2 linked regions of the Oryctolagus cuniculus genome follow. The protein of the gene in region 2 purifies or fractionates together with the protein of the main gene of each other region. This does not show direct contact. Links are inferred from orthologs where the notes say so. Each region holds a gene or a part of one and is shown on either strand. Other genes may lie near its edges.

Region 1 (7,770 bases), on a different chromosome or scaffold from region 2:
TGTACTCCAACAGGAATGTCCTTGCTCCTTTGAGCACTTTTATCAACTTCTCATCTTTCAAGTGTCATGTGCCCTTTATTATGGCTTTCTTGAATTCTCATTCTTCCAAATTGAACACTTCTATCCTTTGGGCCATTACTTTAGCCTGAACTAGTGTTTTCCAATAGTTAAGATAACTACTCTCTAAATTCAACGTATCTTAAAAACAAAACCTGCTCTCACCAACTTCTTTAGTTCTTAGAAATTATTACAGTATAGTGGCTGAAGGGCTTCGTCTCTAGAGTTGGATGAATTTGGTCAAATCCTAACTGTACAACTTAGTTGTGAATCCTTAGACCAATTATTTAACCTCTTCAAGCCTCATGTTCCTCAATTTTAAAATGGAGATTATAATAACTACCTCCTGAAACTGTTGTGAAGATTAAAGGAGATCACAGTTGCAATCTGCTCAAGATAATGTCTTGCCATAAGAAGTTCACTAAATGTTGGCTATTACTCACTTTTTTTTTTAAAGATTTATTTGTTTATTTGAAAGTCAGCGTTCCAGAGAGGGAAGAAGAAGCAGAGAGAGAGAAAGAGAGGTCTTCCATCTGCTGGTTCACTCCCCAACTGACTACAATGGCTGGAGCTGTGCTGATTTGAAGCCAGGAGCCAGGACCTTCTTCTGGGTCTCCCAGGCGGGTGCAGGGCCCAAGGACTTGGGCCATCTTCTACTGCTTTCCCAGACCATAGCAGAGAGCTGGATCAGAAGTGGAGCAGCCAGGACTCAACCTGGCACCCATATGGATTGCCGGCACTGCATCCTGCTACACCAGAGCACTGGCCCCTACTATTATTTTATCCTGTCAGTAGCATCTCTGTTCCATCAAAAACAGGTTTAAGATCTTGGAGCATAGCAAAGCTTCCATTCTAGGTCTCCTTTTATCTTTCCTTGTATAATAACTAAATTTTTTAGATTTATTTATTTATTTGAAAGGCAGAGTTACACAGAGAGAAACCGCCTTCCATTCACTGGTTCATTCCCTAAATGGCCACAATGGCTAGAGCTGGGCAGATCCAAAGCCAGGAGCCAGAATCTTTTTCGAGATCTCTGTGTGGGTGCACGGGCCCAATCACTTGGGCCATCTCCCACTGCTTTCCCAGGTTCATTAGCAGGGAGCTGGATGGGAAGTGGAGCAGTCAGGAATCTAACCCAGCACTCATATGGGATGCTGGTGTTGCAGGCAGCAGCTTTACTCGCTACGCCACAACATCAGCCCCAATAACTGAATCTTGATATCTAAGAATTTAGCACAATTCTTTATACATAGTAGGTACTTAATGTACATGCTGGAAGTGTTACTTCCCTATGCTATTACACTTACCCAGGCCACATTGTAAGGCCATCACAAAACACACCAAACACCAGAGTTAAGGGAAAGGGTTTATTGATAGGGGAAGTCCAGTAGGCTGGAGGAAGGGGGGGGGGGCTGACAGAGATAGATCTGTAGAGAGCACACGTGTGCAGGAAGCAGGTCCTTTTAGACCTTTCTGGGGGGCAGGGAAATAGGAGCAGCAAATCCCATTAGGGTAGGGGTAGAGCTGACACCTGTGGTTGGGCCATGTGGTCACCTGGCTTCTAGCAATGGCAGCAGGGGCTAGGGCCAAGGATGGTGTCCGGGGTGTAGATCACACCACAGATAGGACTGCACCATTTTACTAACACACATCACCTATCATTTGGACTATTGCAACATTTTTTTTTTTTTTTTTTTTTTTTTTTGACAGGCAGAGTAGATAGTGAGAGAGAGAGACAGAGAGAAAGGTCTTCCTTTTTGCCGTTGGTTCACCCTCCAATGGCCGCCACAGCTGGCGCACCGTGCTGATCCGAAGGCAGGAGCCAGGTGCTTCTCCTGGTCTCCCATGGGGTGCAGGGCCCAAGCACTTGGGCCATCCTCCACTGCATTCCCAGGCCACAGCAGAGAGCTGGCCTGGAAGAAAGGCAACCGGGAAAGAATGCGGCGCCCCGACCAGGACTAGAACCTGGTGTGCCGGCGCCTCTAGGTGGAGGATTAGCCTATTGAGCCGCGGCGCTGGCCTATTGCAACATTCTAATTGCTCTCCTAACCTCAGTCTCGCTGTATCCTGCTCTTGGTGATGACATTCCCCTCTTCAAACCCCTCAAAAAGGGTGGGTGTTTGGCCTGGCAGTTAAGATACTGCTTGGGATGCCCTCACCCCACATCAAAGTGCCTGAGTTTGAGCCCCAGCTCTGCTCCTGATTCCCGCTTCCTGCTAACGCTCATCCTAGGAGGCAGCAGGTGACAGCTCAAGTAGTTGAGTCCATGCCCCCAACATGAGATCCAGCTTGACTTCCAGGCTCCTGGTTTCAACCTGTCCCCAGCTCCCACCATTGTAGGGACTGGGGGAGTAAACCAGCCAGTGGATGGGAGCGCTCTCTGTCTCTCAAATAAGAGTAAAATAAATAAGATGCAACTGGAAAAAGGGAAAACATGTTTAAATAACACTTCAAAGGTTCTACATGTTTAAATAACACTTCAAAGGTTCTACTGCATCCATCTCACACCTGGCATTTACAGTCTAATATACTTTATTCCACCTAGGTTTCCTCATTGTACCCTTTCTTGCTGCCTCTACTCACTGCCCCTTCCCCACTCCTTACACAAAGCAATGCTGGTCCACTGCCTCTCTGAAGCCTTTCCAGGCTGTTTCCCAGCCCTTGCTGAGACCTTTATCCACAGGAGCACTGCTTAGCAGGCCTCTTTCTTGACCCTTCTTCTAAAAGGCCTCATTTGATCCACATTTTTCTGTGTGACTCTGACCTGGTCTAGGCACAACTCTTTCTCCTGCCTCTCAATTTGGCTGGTACATACAGCAAGGGAGGAGGGTGGTGGGGGAGGAAATTTAGTAAACTTTCAGTTGATTGTTTTGCGCGCGGGGTGGGGGGTGGGGTGGGGGGAGCAACACAGAAGGAAGTTCTTCCAGACCCTTACCTCTTCTCCCTCCATTCTGCCCCCTGTTTAGCCATCCCCTCTGACAGCCACAGGAATTCTCATGTCCTATTTCAAGCTCCTGTTTCTCCAGTCTTCATAAGCCAGTGTCTTGCTTGCTTCCTTCCAGACTACACCTTTAATGCCTCCTTTTCCCAGTGTGGGGGTCCACAAGCAGCTGCCTCCCCCTTCTAGCCAGGTTTGGCATCCAGGCTGATGCTGCCCCTCTCTGACTTCTTCCAACTTCCCCAGGCCTTTTCTGAGCCCCCTGTTCAACTCCTCAGGGATCTTTCTCCCAATTTCCACCGGTCAGCCTGACCCTTCCCAGCTGTTGGCACAGGGCCTCTCCCCACCCCCACCAGGGTGCCCCACTCCCACCACCAAGGGCCTCCTTGACCACTCTCCAGAGCCTTGGAGTTTATTCTGGAGCCCCAACCCCCTAAACCCCAGGCCTTTCTCCCCCATTCCCCTCCTCACAGTGCAACCTCACACCTCCAAACCCCACAGTGGGGCCTCAAGCCGCCACTTCTGACCTGAGCAGGGCCTTACTCCCAGCAAAAACGCCCCCTTCCCTCCCCTGACCCAGAACCTCCACTCCTGCACCCCTCTTCCTCCAGGCCATGGGCCTGGCCTACTCCTCACTCAGCTCCAGCCCTGGCCTCGGGGACCCCTCCCCCTCACAGCAGCAGACTGTCAGGCTCAAGGCCTCCCTCGACACCCCCCCCCCCCCCCCAGCAGCCAGGCCTGCTTCGCACAACCCTCACTTTCCCCTTTTCACTCCCCAGGTACTCCTCACCGCCCCACCCCACACACGGCCTCCTCGGGCCCATCGGGCAAGCAGGCCTCCCGGCCTCCGCTCCCGGCCCGCCAGACTCCCGGGCCCACAACCCTGCCCGGCCGCTCATCCCAGCGCCCCAACCCGCGCGCCTTAGCTCTTCAGCCTGGATGTCCTCCGCCGCGGCCCGGGCCTGTGCTCCCGGCCGCCCTCACGCCCAGGGCCTCCGGTCACTTCCATTTGGCCCAAGGCCTCAAGGCCTCTCCGCCGCGACGCACCCCTCCCATTCCGGCCGGACAGTCCGGGATATCCCCGACCCGGGGCCTCCTGGGCCCTTCCAGCCCGCCCGACGTCCGAGCCTCCCTCGCTGGCTGAGCCGCCCCGGGCCCTCTCCGCCCGCTCTCCGGCCTCCCTGGCCACTCCGGCAGATCCGAGTGGCCTCCGGCGTTCTCAGACGCGCCGGCTGCTCCGCCGCTCGATCCGCTTGGCACCCGAGGCCGGGTCGTCAGCCCGGCACCGTCGGACAGGCCGCGGCGACCCGAGCCCTTCGGCTTCTCCCTCAGCCCCACTCCCCTGCTCTCCAATCCGCGGCCGCACCCCCGCCCATCGGCGTGGGCTCCAGAGCCTGGCACTGGCGGGGTGTCAGGCCGACGCCTGGGGCCCCGGGCCGTCAGTCGGGCTGGGTGGCCCTGGGCCTGGCCTCATTGCCTTAGGCCAGGCCTCTCAACCTCGGTCCCTGGCCTGGACAGCCGGGCTATCCCTTGCACGTCGGTCCGACATCCGAGGTTCCCCAGCCCGGCTCAGCCGAGTGTCAGTTCGGCACCCACGGCTCATGCTCGCCAGTGTAGCCTCTGTCGCCCGGGCCCTGCCTCCTTCGCCCTCGCCGGGCCTCCTGGCCTCGCCCCCCGCGCCCCCAAGTCAGGCCGCCGTGCAGGTCCACCTGCCCATTTAGTCTCCTTCTTTACTCTGTCCAGCCCTGTCAGTCATGGAATTCATGCTCCGACCCTACAATCGGGCTTCCAGTGCCCGGGGCTGGGCCTTGCCCGGGGCCTCCCGGCCTCGCCCCCCGCGCCCCCTGGCCGCTGGGCCGCCCCCGCTCGTTGCCAGAGGTAGCCCCTCACCCCGCGACTTACCCCACACCCCGCTCTCCAGAACCCCCATATGGGCGCTCACCGCCCGCCCGCACAGCTCGAACAGGGCGGGGGGAGCGCTGGGGCCCGAGGCCGAGCTCTTCGCTGGCGCCGCCTCCCGGGACGTGGCCTCCATGGTCGTTGCCGCCGCTACCTCACAGAACCAGCAACTCCGGGCGCGCCAGGCCTCGGGCGCCGCCATCTTGGGGAGGTGCGCGAGCCCGAGAGCGGCGTCCGCCGACCGCCATCTTGAAAAGGTCAGCAGTTAGGACGACTCCATAAGCAATATAGGTAAGAACAGGAACTGCGCAAAAGAAATGTGGAATAAGTTTGCAGATTCTTCACGTCTTTTAGGACATACTATTTTTAAAAAACCTCTTAGATCAGAACATTTGGGTCTGGAATGACTAAATGGATGTTGCTTCGTAAAGACTCCTCAGGCACAAATACCAGCTCCCCCTACCCTCTGCCTCTGGCCGATAGTACATGCCGATCAGAGCGTGTGTTCGCGACTACGAGGAGTATGCCGCACTTCCGGCCAGATTGCCGGATATCCGTCGAGTGACCCTTACAAGTCCTTCTTGATCCCCAACTGGAGTGGGTACCGTGTGGCTGCTGCTGTTGAATCCAGAACCGTAGGCGGACATGGGACTGGAGGATGAGCAAAAGATGCTGACCGGGGCCGGAGATCCCAAGGAGGTAAGACAACGAGATCGGCTCGACCCTCTTGCCTTTGGGGAGTGAAGCGCAGGACCTAGCCCGCCAAAACACGCTCGGGGTCCTCTTGGCCTCGGGTTCCTCCCTGGGGTTTGTAGATCGAGCGAATTTCCTCGACCCTTCCTCGAATTCGCCTAGTGGCTCTGGACAGGTGGATGACTAGTCCTTCTGTGGCCTCGGCTTCCCCATTCTATAAATGTGGAAATGTGACGAGATCGAAAATGCTGTATCAACTTTTGTAAAAACAGTATTGGTTTGGGAGATCTGGCCTGATCCTGGTGGAAACTGGCTTTTCTTTCTTTCCTGGGGCTGGGGCTAGGAGAGAGGTTGTGTCTTGGGGAACAGGGTAGGAATGTGGTGAAAGGGAGTTCTTCCCCAGACCAGACGCCGACATAAAGAGTGTGTGTGAACTGCTTGCTATTCCGAGTGCTTTCTATGTACTAGTTCATTTCATCTACAAAGTTGCTGATATTTTTAAAAATAGTGTGTCCTAAAAGACGTGTTAGTACCATTTGTTCAGGCGAGGAAAGTAGCACAGACGGGTTAAGTATCTTGTCTAAGGACACACAGGAAACGGTGAAGCAGGAATCGAGCCCAGCCGCACAGTTCTGAAGCCGGGACTCAGCCACAGTGCCGCACAGCTACGCAGACGTCACTGGCTTCGCGTTTCCAGCCTCATTCCCTGTATTTATTTGAACACTTCAGGACAGCCATTTATCCCATTTATCCCTTAATTTTTTTCCTACTCTTATTTTCAGAAAGAGCTGGAACCAGCCTTGGAAAGTTCAGTGGTACCCACAACTTTTTTTTTTTTTTTAAGAATTATTTTATTTATTTGGCCGGCGCCGCGGCTCACTAGGCTAATCCTCCGCCTAGCGGCGCCGGCACACCGGGTTCTAGTCCCGGTCGGGGCGCCGGATTCTGTCCCGGTTGCCCCTCTTCCAGGCCAGCTCTCTGCTGTGGCCAGGGAGTGCAGTGGAGGATGGCCCAGGTGCTTGGGCCCTGCACCCCATGGGAGACCAGGAAAAGCACCTGGCTCCTGGCTCCTGCCATTGGATCAGCGCGGTGCGCCGGCCGCAGCGCGCCGGCCGCGGCGGCCATTGGAGGGTGAACCAACGGCAAAGGAAGACCTTTCTCTCTGTCTCTCTCTCTCTCACTGTCCACTCTGCCTGTCAAAAAAAAAAAAAAAAAAAAGAATTATTTTATTTATTTGAAAGACACAGAGAGAGAGGTAGAGACAGTGCAGAGAGTACAGAGTGTGTGTGTGTGGGGGGGGGGGGTCCTTCCATCTGCTGGTTCACTCCCCAAATGATTGCAAGAGCCAAAGCTGAGCTTATCCAAAGCCAGGAGCCTGGAGCTTCTTCCCGGTCTCCCACGTGGGTGCAGGGGCCCAAGGAGTTGGGCCATCTTCTACTGCTTTCCCAGGCCCTAGCAGAGAGCTGGATTGGAAGTGGAGCAGCCAGGACTTGAACTGGTGCCCATATGGGATGCCAGCACTGCAGGCTGGAGCTTTAACCTGCTGCACCACACTGCCAGCCCGGACCACCACAACTTGAAAATAAAGAAAGCTAGGGTGTTTTATGAAGAACCCATCATTGCTGGGGATTATGTCTTTTTCTTTAACATGACCTTCATTTTCTCACTGACTGGAAATTTTACATGAAGCAGATCTGTGTTTCCAAAATGTGCCATGATATTTTTGACACAGGTTTGTCAGTGCTGTAGCACTGCTAATAAGTGGGATGCTATAAAGGTCTTATATAATATATAATATTTATTTCTAGTTTCTAACTTAAGACAGTGTGATTTTTGGTTTTGGGGAGAAGACTTTTTCAGTATGGATTTAAAAAAATTTTATTTATTTATTTGAAAGGCAAAATGAGAGATCTTCCATCTGCTGGTTCACTCCTACAACAGCCAGGGCTGGGCCAAGCTGAAGCCAGGAGCTTGGGCCGTCTTCTACTGCTTTCCCAGGAGCGTTAGCAGAGAGCTGGACCTGAAGTGGAGCATCCAGGTCTCAACTGGCACCCATCTGGGATGCGGGCATTGCAGGAGGCAATTTTACTCAATATGCCACAGAGCCAGCCCCTCAGTGTGATTTTTTTTTTTTTTTTTTTTTTTTTGACAGGCAGAGTGGACAGAGAGAGAGACAGAGAGAA
Region 2 (7,013 bases):
TGGGAAAGTGGCAAAGGATGGCCCAAGTGCTTGGGTCCCTACTACCCACATGGGAGACCTCCTGCCCCAATGAAGCTCCTGGCTTCAGCCAGGCCCAGTGCTGGCCGTTGCAGCCACCTGGGGGGTAAGCCAGCAGACAGAAGATGTCTCTTCCTCTAACTCTTTCAAATAAATTCATAAATAAATCTAAGAAAAATAAAGATAAACATCAACTAGGATGTTGTGTGTCACGCCTCTAGCCATTTCACATTCAGAGCAAGCTACCAAGCATCCCTCTGGCATCGGCCTCACTGCACACGCTCTTCCTCGTTCAACTCAGCCCCAAGATTCCGGTGCTGACACATGAACTGCACGCAGCCGACAGCCCTACCGGATTCCTTTATGCAGCTCAACACACAAGGTGAACCAGGAAAAGACAGGTCAAGTTGTTCGGGCGCCTTCCTCTCCCTCCCGAGTCCTGATCCAGCGGCTGCCCCTGCCAGGAGCTGGGAGACGGCGCTGGGTCGTGGCGAAAGCCGCCGTGGCTGTCTCGGCTGACAGGTAAGGGCAGGTTTCACTTCTTCACAATCTGAATGACGTCCTCATCCTCCAGCGTGTGGTCTTTACCCACTTTCTGAGGGTTGTGCTTCACAGAGAGACCCCAGACCAGAGCGCTGTATGGGAGGAAGAAAGGACAGTCAGCGGAAACGCGAACCCCGCTCTGCGCCGTCTGCCGAGGGCCGCACTCTGCTCTCACCGAGCACCCCAGCCCTGCAGAGCCACAGCCCTACGGCAGCGGCTGCCACAGACAGCACACCAGGCAGCGCTCACCTGCCTCCTCAGTCCAACCTAAAGTCAGGGACAGTGCACGTGCGTAACGTCAAGAGAAGAGGTGGAAATTTCAAAGATTCAGTAAACCCGAAGCATGGATTTATTACTAAGAAATACCCTCAAAACATCAGATTGAGATGGCTTGTCAGTCACACAGTGTCAGTTACAGAGGGTTGGAGAAAATTTCCATCAGTGGGTACAGACCAGACTCAAGTCTCCCTCCTCAGCCACGCTATGAAACCCTTCCTTCCCTATCAGAAAACTGTCAATTGGAATGGGCTCCATCCAGATTCTTGGACTATAGGATGGTAATTTATATCCACAAGCCTCCAAAATGCACAGTGTGCTCTGAGAGAGATGGGAATTTACTGAACATAACACTGACTGCCTCCCACAGACTGAGGACTAGGCAACAAGGGGCAAAGAGAAAAAGTGGCCATATTATGTTACATTGTTACTGCACTAAAACTTCTTTAAAATTTTATAGTCCAGTAAGAAATCAACAAAGAAAAGACCACGTTTTAAAAAAAACACATATCAGTAATAGATATAAATTAATACAAATAAAAGTTTGAAAGGTTTATTTATTTGAAAGACAGTTACAGAGAGACAGGGAGGGACAGAGAGGTCTTCCATCCACTGGTTTTCTCCCAAATGGCCGCAACAGCCAGGACTGAGCCAGGCTGAGGCCAAGAGTCAAGAGGTCCATCCAGGTCTCTCATGAGGGTGGCAGGGTCCAAGTACTTGGCCATCATCTGCTGCCTCCCAAGGAACAATAGCAGGGAACGGAATTGGAAGTAGAGAGCAGCTCGACCCACTGCACTCAAAACACTGACCCCAACAAACAAAAATTTTCAAATGCACTAACAAACATATTTAAGTACAGAGTGATCATTTTACAAATGTAAACAGTTCAGCTGTTCTGGAAAGTAAAAACACAGCAAAAACCATTTAAGTATCAATGCTACTTCTATAGTAAAGTCTTCGAAAATTATCAATAGCAACACAAGGGGCCAACAACTGGGACTGTGGGTTAAGTTGCCACTTGCAACATCAGCAATGTATATGGAAGTGCTGGCTGGAGTCCCAGCAAAACTGCTATTGTTCAAGCCAGCTTCCGGCTGATGAGCCTGGGAAAGCAGCCAAGGATGGCCCAAGTACCTAGGCCCCTGCCAACTACATGAGACGGTTCCAGGCTCCTGGCTTCAGCCTGGCACAGCCTGGGCCAATGTGGCCAGTTAGAGAGTAAGCTAGCAGACAGAAACTGTCTCCCCCTCCATCGCTGTAACCCTGCCTTTCAAATTAAAAAAAAAAAAAAAAAAAAAAAAAAAAAAAAAAACACAACACAGAAGATAAAAGAGTTGCTCATGTCCAAAGCAACAAATATTAGATGACAGCCTACAGACCAAAAATCCAAGAGTTCATACCAATATACATTATGGATTAAATAAACAGGGGACAAGTGACAGCTCTAACTCACAGGAGAATTCCAATAAATAAATTTTAAACTTCAAAAGAGAAAGAAATGGCCAGCGCCATGGCTCACTGACTAATCCTCTGCCTGTGGCTCCAACACCCTGGGTTCTAGTCCTGGTCGGGGCGCTGTATTCTGTCCCGGTTGCCCCTCTTCCAGTCCAGCTCTCTGCTGTGGCCCAGGAAGGCAGTGGAGGATGGCCCAAGTCCTTGGGCCCTGCACCTGCATGGGAGACCAGGAAGAGGCACCTGGCTCCTGGCTTCAGCCTTGGCCCAGCTCTGGCCATGGAAGCCATTTGGGGAGTGGACCAGCAGATCTCTATCTCTGCCTTTCAAATACATAAATAAATCTTTAAAAAAAAAAAAAAAAAAGCCAAGATCAGGGACTGGTGTTGTAGTGCAGCAGGTTAAGCCACCACCTGCAATACCAGCCTCCCTTATGAGCGCAGGTCTGAGCTGCTCTGCTTCCAACCCAGCTCCCTGCTAATGCTCCTGGGACAGCAGCAGAAAATGGTCCAAGTGTTTGGGCCCCTGCACCCATGTGGGAGACCCAGATGGAGTTTCAGGCTCTGGGATTTGGCCTGGCCATTGTGTCCATCCGGGGAGTGAACCAACAGGTGGAAGATCTGTCTCCCTCTCTTGCTGCCTTTTAAATAAATCCTTAAAAATAACAATAAAAAGATAAATAAAAGCATCAAGGTCATCAAAGAGTGAAAATCTAAGGAAATACTGGGGGTCTAGAACACTGGAAGGCTAAGAAAAACTAACAATTCCATGCCATGTAGGTTCCTGGAACATAAAACAGACACTGGCAGGAGAAGCAGTACATTTCAAGTAAGATTTGTAATTCAGTGAATGGTGCAGTGCCAAAGTCTACGTCCGGCCCGTGGTATCTGGAGTACACAGTAACGGAAGCTGCTATTGTCACAAGTGGGGTGAGGGGTAAAAGTAAACTCTTTTTGTGCTTTTTTCTGTTTGCCCCTTTTCTGTAAACCTGAAATTAGTTCAAAAAAATTTTTTTTAAAGTATTGAGCTGAGTGCCAGCGCTTTGGCGCAGCAGGTTAATACCCTGGCTTAAAGTGCCGGCACCCTGTATGGGCGCCAGTTCGAGACCCGGCTGCTCCACTTCCGATCCAGCTCTCTGCTATGGCCTGGGAAAGCAGTAGAAGATGGCCCAAGACCTTGGGCCCCTGCACCCGCGTGTGAAACCTGGAAGAAGCTCCTGGCTCCTGGCTTTGGATTGGCGCAATTCCAGCTGTTGCGGCCAATTGAGGAGTGAACCATCAGAAGGAAGACCTCCCTCTCTCTCCCTCCCTCTCTCTCTGCTTCTCCTCTCTCTGTGTAACTCTGACTTTCAAATAAATAAATCTTTTAAAACAGTTTTGAGCTGCTATCAGTAGTGAAAAGTTAAAGAAAAAGATCACAGGGAGGGGCTGGCGCTGAGGCACAGCGGGTTAAAGCCCCAGCCTGCAGCGCCAGCATCCCATATGGGCACCAGTTCAAGTCCCAGCTGCTCCACTTCTGATCCAGCTCTCTGCTATGGTCTGGGAAAGCAGTAGAAGATGGCCCAAGTCCTTGGGACCCTACACCCACGTGGGAGACCCCGAAGAAGCTCCTAGCTCCAGATCATCTCAGCTCTGGCCATTGTGGTAATTTGGGGAGTGAACCAACAGAATGGAAGACCACTCTGTCTCTCGCTCGGCCTCTCTCTCTGTAACTCTTTCATATGAATAAAATAAATCTTAAAAAAAAAATTTAAAAAAAAGATCAAGCCGGCGCCATGGCTCAATAGGCTAATCCTCCGCCTGCGGTGCCGGCACACCGGGTTCGAGTCCCGGTCGGGGCACCGGATTCTGTCCCAGTTGCCCCTCTTCCAGGCCAGCTCTCTGCTGTGGCCCGGGAGTGCAGTGGAGGATGGCCCAAGTGCTTGGGCCCTGCACCCCATGGGAGACCAGGAGAGGCACCTGGCTCCTGTCTGTGGATCAGCGCGGTGCGCTGTCTGCAGTGGCCATTGGGGGGTGAACCAACAGAAAAGGACGACCTTTCTCTCTCTCTCTGACTGTCCACTCTGCCTGTCAAAAATAATAACAATAAGAAGAAGAAGAAAAAGAAAAGATCACAGGGATTCTAAGTTTTAGAGGAGGAGTCAGTACCCAGTGGAGGCCACGATAACCTGGCAGGGAGAATCCATCTTTGTGCTTGCCACCAAGATGAATTAATGAAGGGAAATGAAAGCCCCTTGGCAGCAGCGCCCTGCTGACCTCCGGAGCTCTCCCTGTCCGCCGACACACCGAGCCCTCACGCGGTCCTGAGACTGCATGTGAAGGCAGGGGCTCACAAAGCAAAGGCGGTCCCACGTGCCCTTGCTACTTACTACTTAAACTCCTTGATAAGATTCTTGTGAATTTTCATGCAGAAATCCTCCACCGTGGTCCTCGAGTACGGCAGCACCACCGGGGACGTGTAATCCGGCAACTGGCCCTTGGGCTTGGTGTAACTAGGAGAGAGGGGGCGACAGAGGTTACACCTACTTAGAACGCTTCACATGTGGGATGCCAACCAATCCCGCAGCACCCCGAGGTCGGACCAGGATAACCTCCCCCCTGGGGAAGAAAGCACCCTCAATGTGACCTAGCGATGACGAAGCCGACTTCCGTGTGTCACAGAACACGGCGAGATCGTGCGCAGGAGCTCCAGAGGGATCTTCCTAAGGCAGTCTGGCCTCCCTCCCGCAGCAGCAGCAGCCACGCACAAGGACTCACATCCTCACTAGTTTCAGGTAGTCCCAGATCTTCTCCAACAGGTCATCGAAGTTCCAGCGGTGATGGGCAGAGATCGGCACGCAGTGAGGCACCTTATAGATGATATCCAGTTCCTCAATGGAGATCTGATCAATCTTGTTTAAAACATAGATACAAGGGATATAAACTCTATGAAGCAGAAAAGAAAGAGGGAATTAGCCTGCAGTTGCTGACAAAATTGTGAGTCTAATGAGCAGCACCTCCTCCCTCAGGCCCCAAATCGGGACTTAATCAACAACTCCCTGCTTTAAAAAAGAATGAGTAGAAACTGTTAACCGTGGAGTCTGAGTTGAGAATTCACGCAGGCCCTGTTCACACTGCGCACCACGGGGTTTGTGACTGCCTAAGTCCACACTGCTCTGCTCTCAGACCCAGCTTCCTGCTCGTGCACTTCGAAGGCAGTGGGAGACAGTCCGAGCGTCTGGGCCCCACATCAGAGTCTAGGATGGACTGGCTGGCTCCTGGCTTCAGCCTGGTCCAGACTTGGTTTCTGTGGTCATCAGGAGAGTGAACTGAGGCCCGTGCTGTTGTGCGACAAGTTAAGCCGCTGCTTGATGCCAGCACCCCATACAGAAGTACTGGTCTGAGCCTGATTCTTATTTTTTAAGATTTATTTTATTTATTTGAAAGGCAGAGTTACAGAGAGGCAGAGGCAGAGAGAGAGAGAGAGAGAGGTCTTCCATCTGATGGTTCACTCCCCAAATGGCTGCAACAGCTGGAGCTGCGCTGATCCAAAGCCAGGAGCCAGGAGCTTCTTCCAGGTCTCCCATGTGGGTGCATGGGCCCAAAGACTTGGGTCATCCTCTACTCTTGTTTTTGTTTTTTTGAAGATTTATTTATTGGAGCCAGCGCTGTGGTGAAGTAGGGTAAACCTCCGCCTGCAGGACTGGCATCCCGTACAGGTGCTGTTTGTGTCCCGGCACGTGAGATTTCAACACTTCAGAGAAAGGAAGCATGTTAGAAATCAAGACCTGGTGGCCGGCACTGCGGCTCACTAGGCTAATCCTCCGCCTTGCAGTGCCGGCACACCGGGTTCTAGTCCCGGTCGGGGCACCAGATTCTGTCCCAGTTGCCCCTCTTCCAGGCCAGCTCTCTGCTGTGGCCAGGGAGTGCAGTGGAGGATGGCCCAAGTGCTTGGGCCCTGCACCCCATGGGAGACCAGGAGAAGTACCTGGCTCCTGCCATCGGATCAGCGTGGTGCACTGGCCGCGGCGGCCATTGGAGGGTGAACCAACAGCAAAAGGAAGACCTTTCTCTCTGTCTCTCTCTCTCACTATCCACTCTGCCTGTCAAAAAAAAAAAAAAAAAAGAAAGAAAGAAAGAAAGAAAAGAAAAGAAAAGAAAAGAAAAGAAAAGAAAAGAAAAGAAAAGAAAAGAAAAGAAAAGAAAAGAAAATCAAGACCTGGGGCCAGCATTGTGGTGTTACAGGTAAAGCTGCTGTCTGCAATGCTGGTATCCCATACGGGCATCAGTTCAAGTCCCAGCTGCTCCATTTCCAATCCAGCTCTCTGCTAACGTGCCTGGGAAAGCAGTGGAGGACGGCACAAGTACTTGGACCCTTGCTACCCACGTGGGAGACCCAAAAGAAGCTCCTGGTTTCCAGCTTCAGACTGTCACGGCCATTTGGGGAATGAACAAGTACACGGAAAATCTCTCTCTCGCTCTCTTTCAAATAAATTAAAAAAAAGAAAATGAAGACCAATCCCTCATTTTACTTCTAAAATACCCAAGCCCAAAACTGATAGCAGCACAACTGCAGTTCAGAATCGATTCATACTCCAGTACTGTTTCCACCACAAGGCTTCAAATTCACAAGAGCACAGACCGCACACTCCGTGCACACCTGTTCCCTTCCACCACGTCGATGAGGTCATCAGCCGTGGCATCGCTGCGCAGAGTCACATCCGCATTGTGGATTTTGTATTCAGC

Evidence for each region. The genes of interacting proteins can lie anywhere in the genome.
Region 1: the proteins of DRG1 (region 2) and LRRC41 purify together in Homo sapiens (affinity purification with mass spectrometry; 3 studies listed by BioGRID and IntAct, counting the BioPlex papers as one, with this or other methods). This does not show direct contact. The link is inferred for Oryctolagus cuniculus from reciprocal best matches to the Homo sapiens genes DRG1 and LRRC41.

The regions. Positions count from the first base shown.
Region 1 is NC_091438.1:126,471,119-126,478,888, reverse strand, and holds the start of LRRC41 (leucine-rich repeat-containing protein 41), read right to left. Parts: upstream 5,150-7,770; 5' UTR 5,097-5,149; coding exon 4,898-5,096; intron 3,323-4,897; exon of another isoform or gene 2,993-3,322; intron 1-2,992. Other genes in the region: UQCRH (cytochrome b-c1 complex subunit 6, mitochondrial), read left to right, coding at 5,540-5,593. UniProt on the Homo sapiens protein: Probable substrate recognition component of an ECS (Elongin BC-CUL2/5-SOCS-box protein) E3 ubiquitin ligase complex which mediates the ubiquitination and subsequent proteasomal degradation of target proteins.
Region 2 is NC_091452.1:24,558,219-24,565,231, reverse strand, and holds the end of DRG1 (developmentally-regulated GTP-binding protein 1), read right to left. Parts: coding exon 6,928-7,013; intron 5,214-6,927; coding exon 5,046-5,213; intron 4,781-5,045; coding exon 4,658-4,780; intron 654-4,657; coding exon 554-653; downstream 1-553. UniProt on the Homo sapiens protein: Catalyzes the conversion of GTP to GDP through hydrolysis of the gamma-phosphate bond in GTP. Appears to have an intrinsic GTPase activity that is stimulated by ZC3H15/DFRP1 binding likely by increasing the affinity for the potassium ions.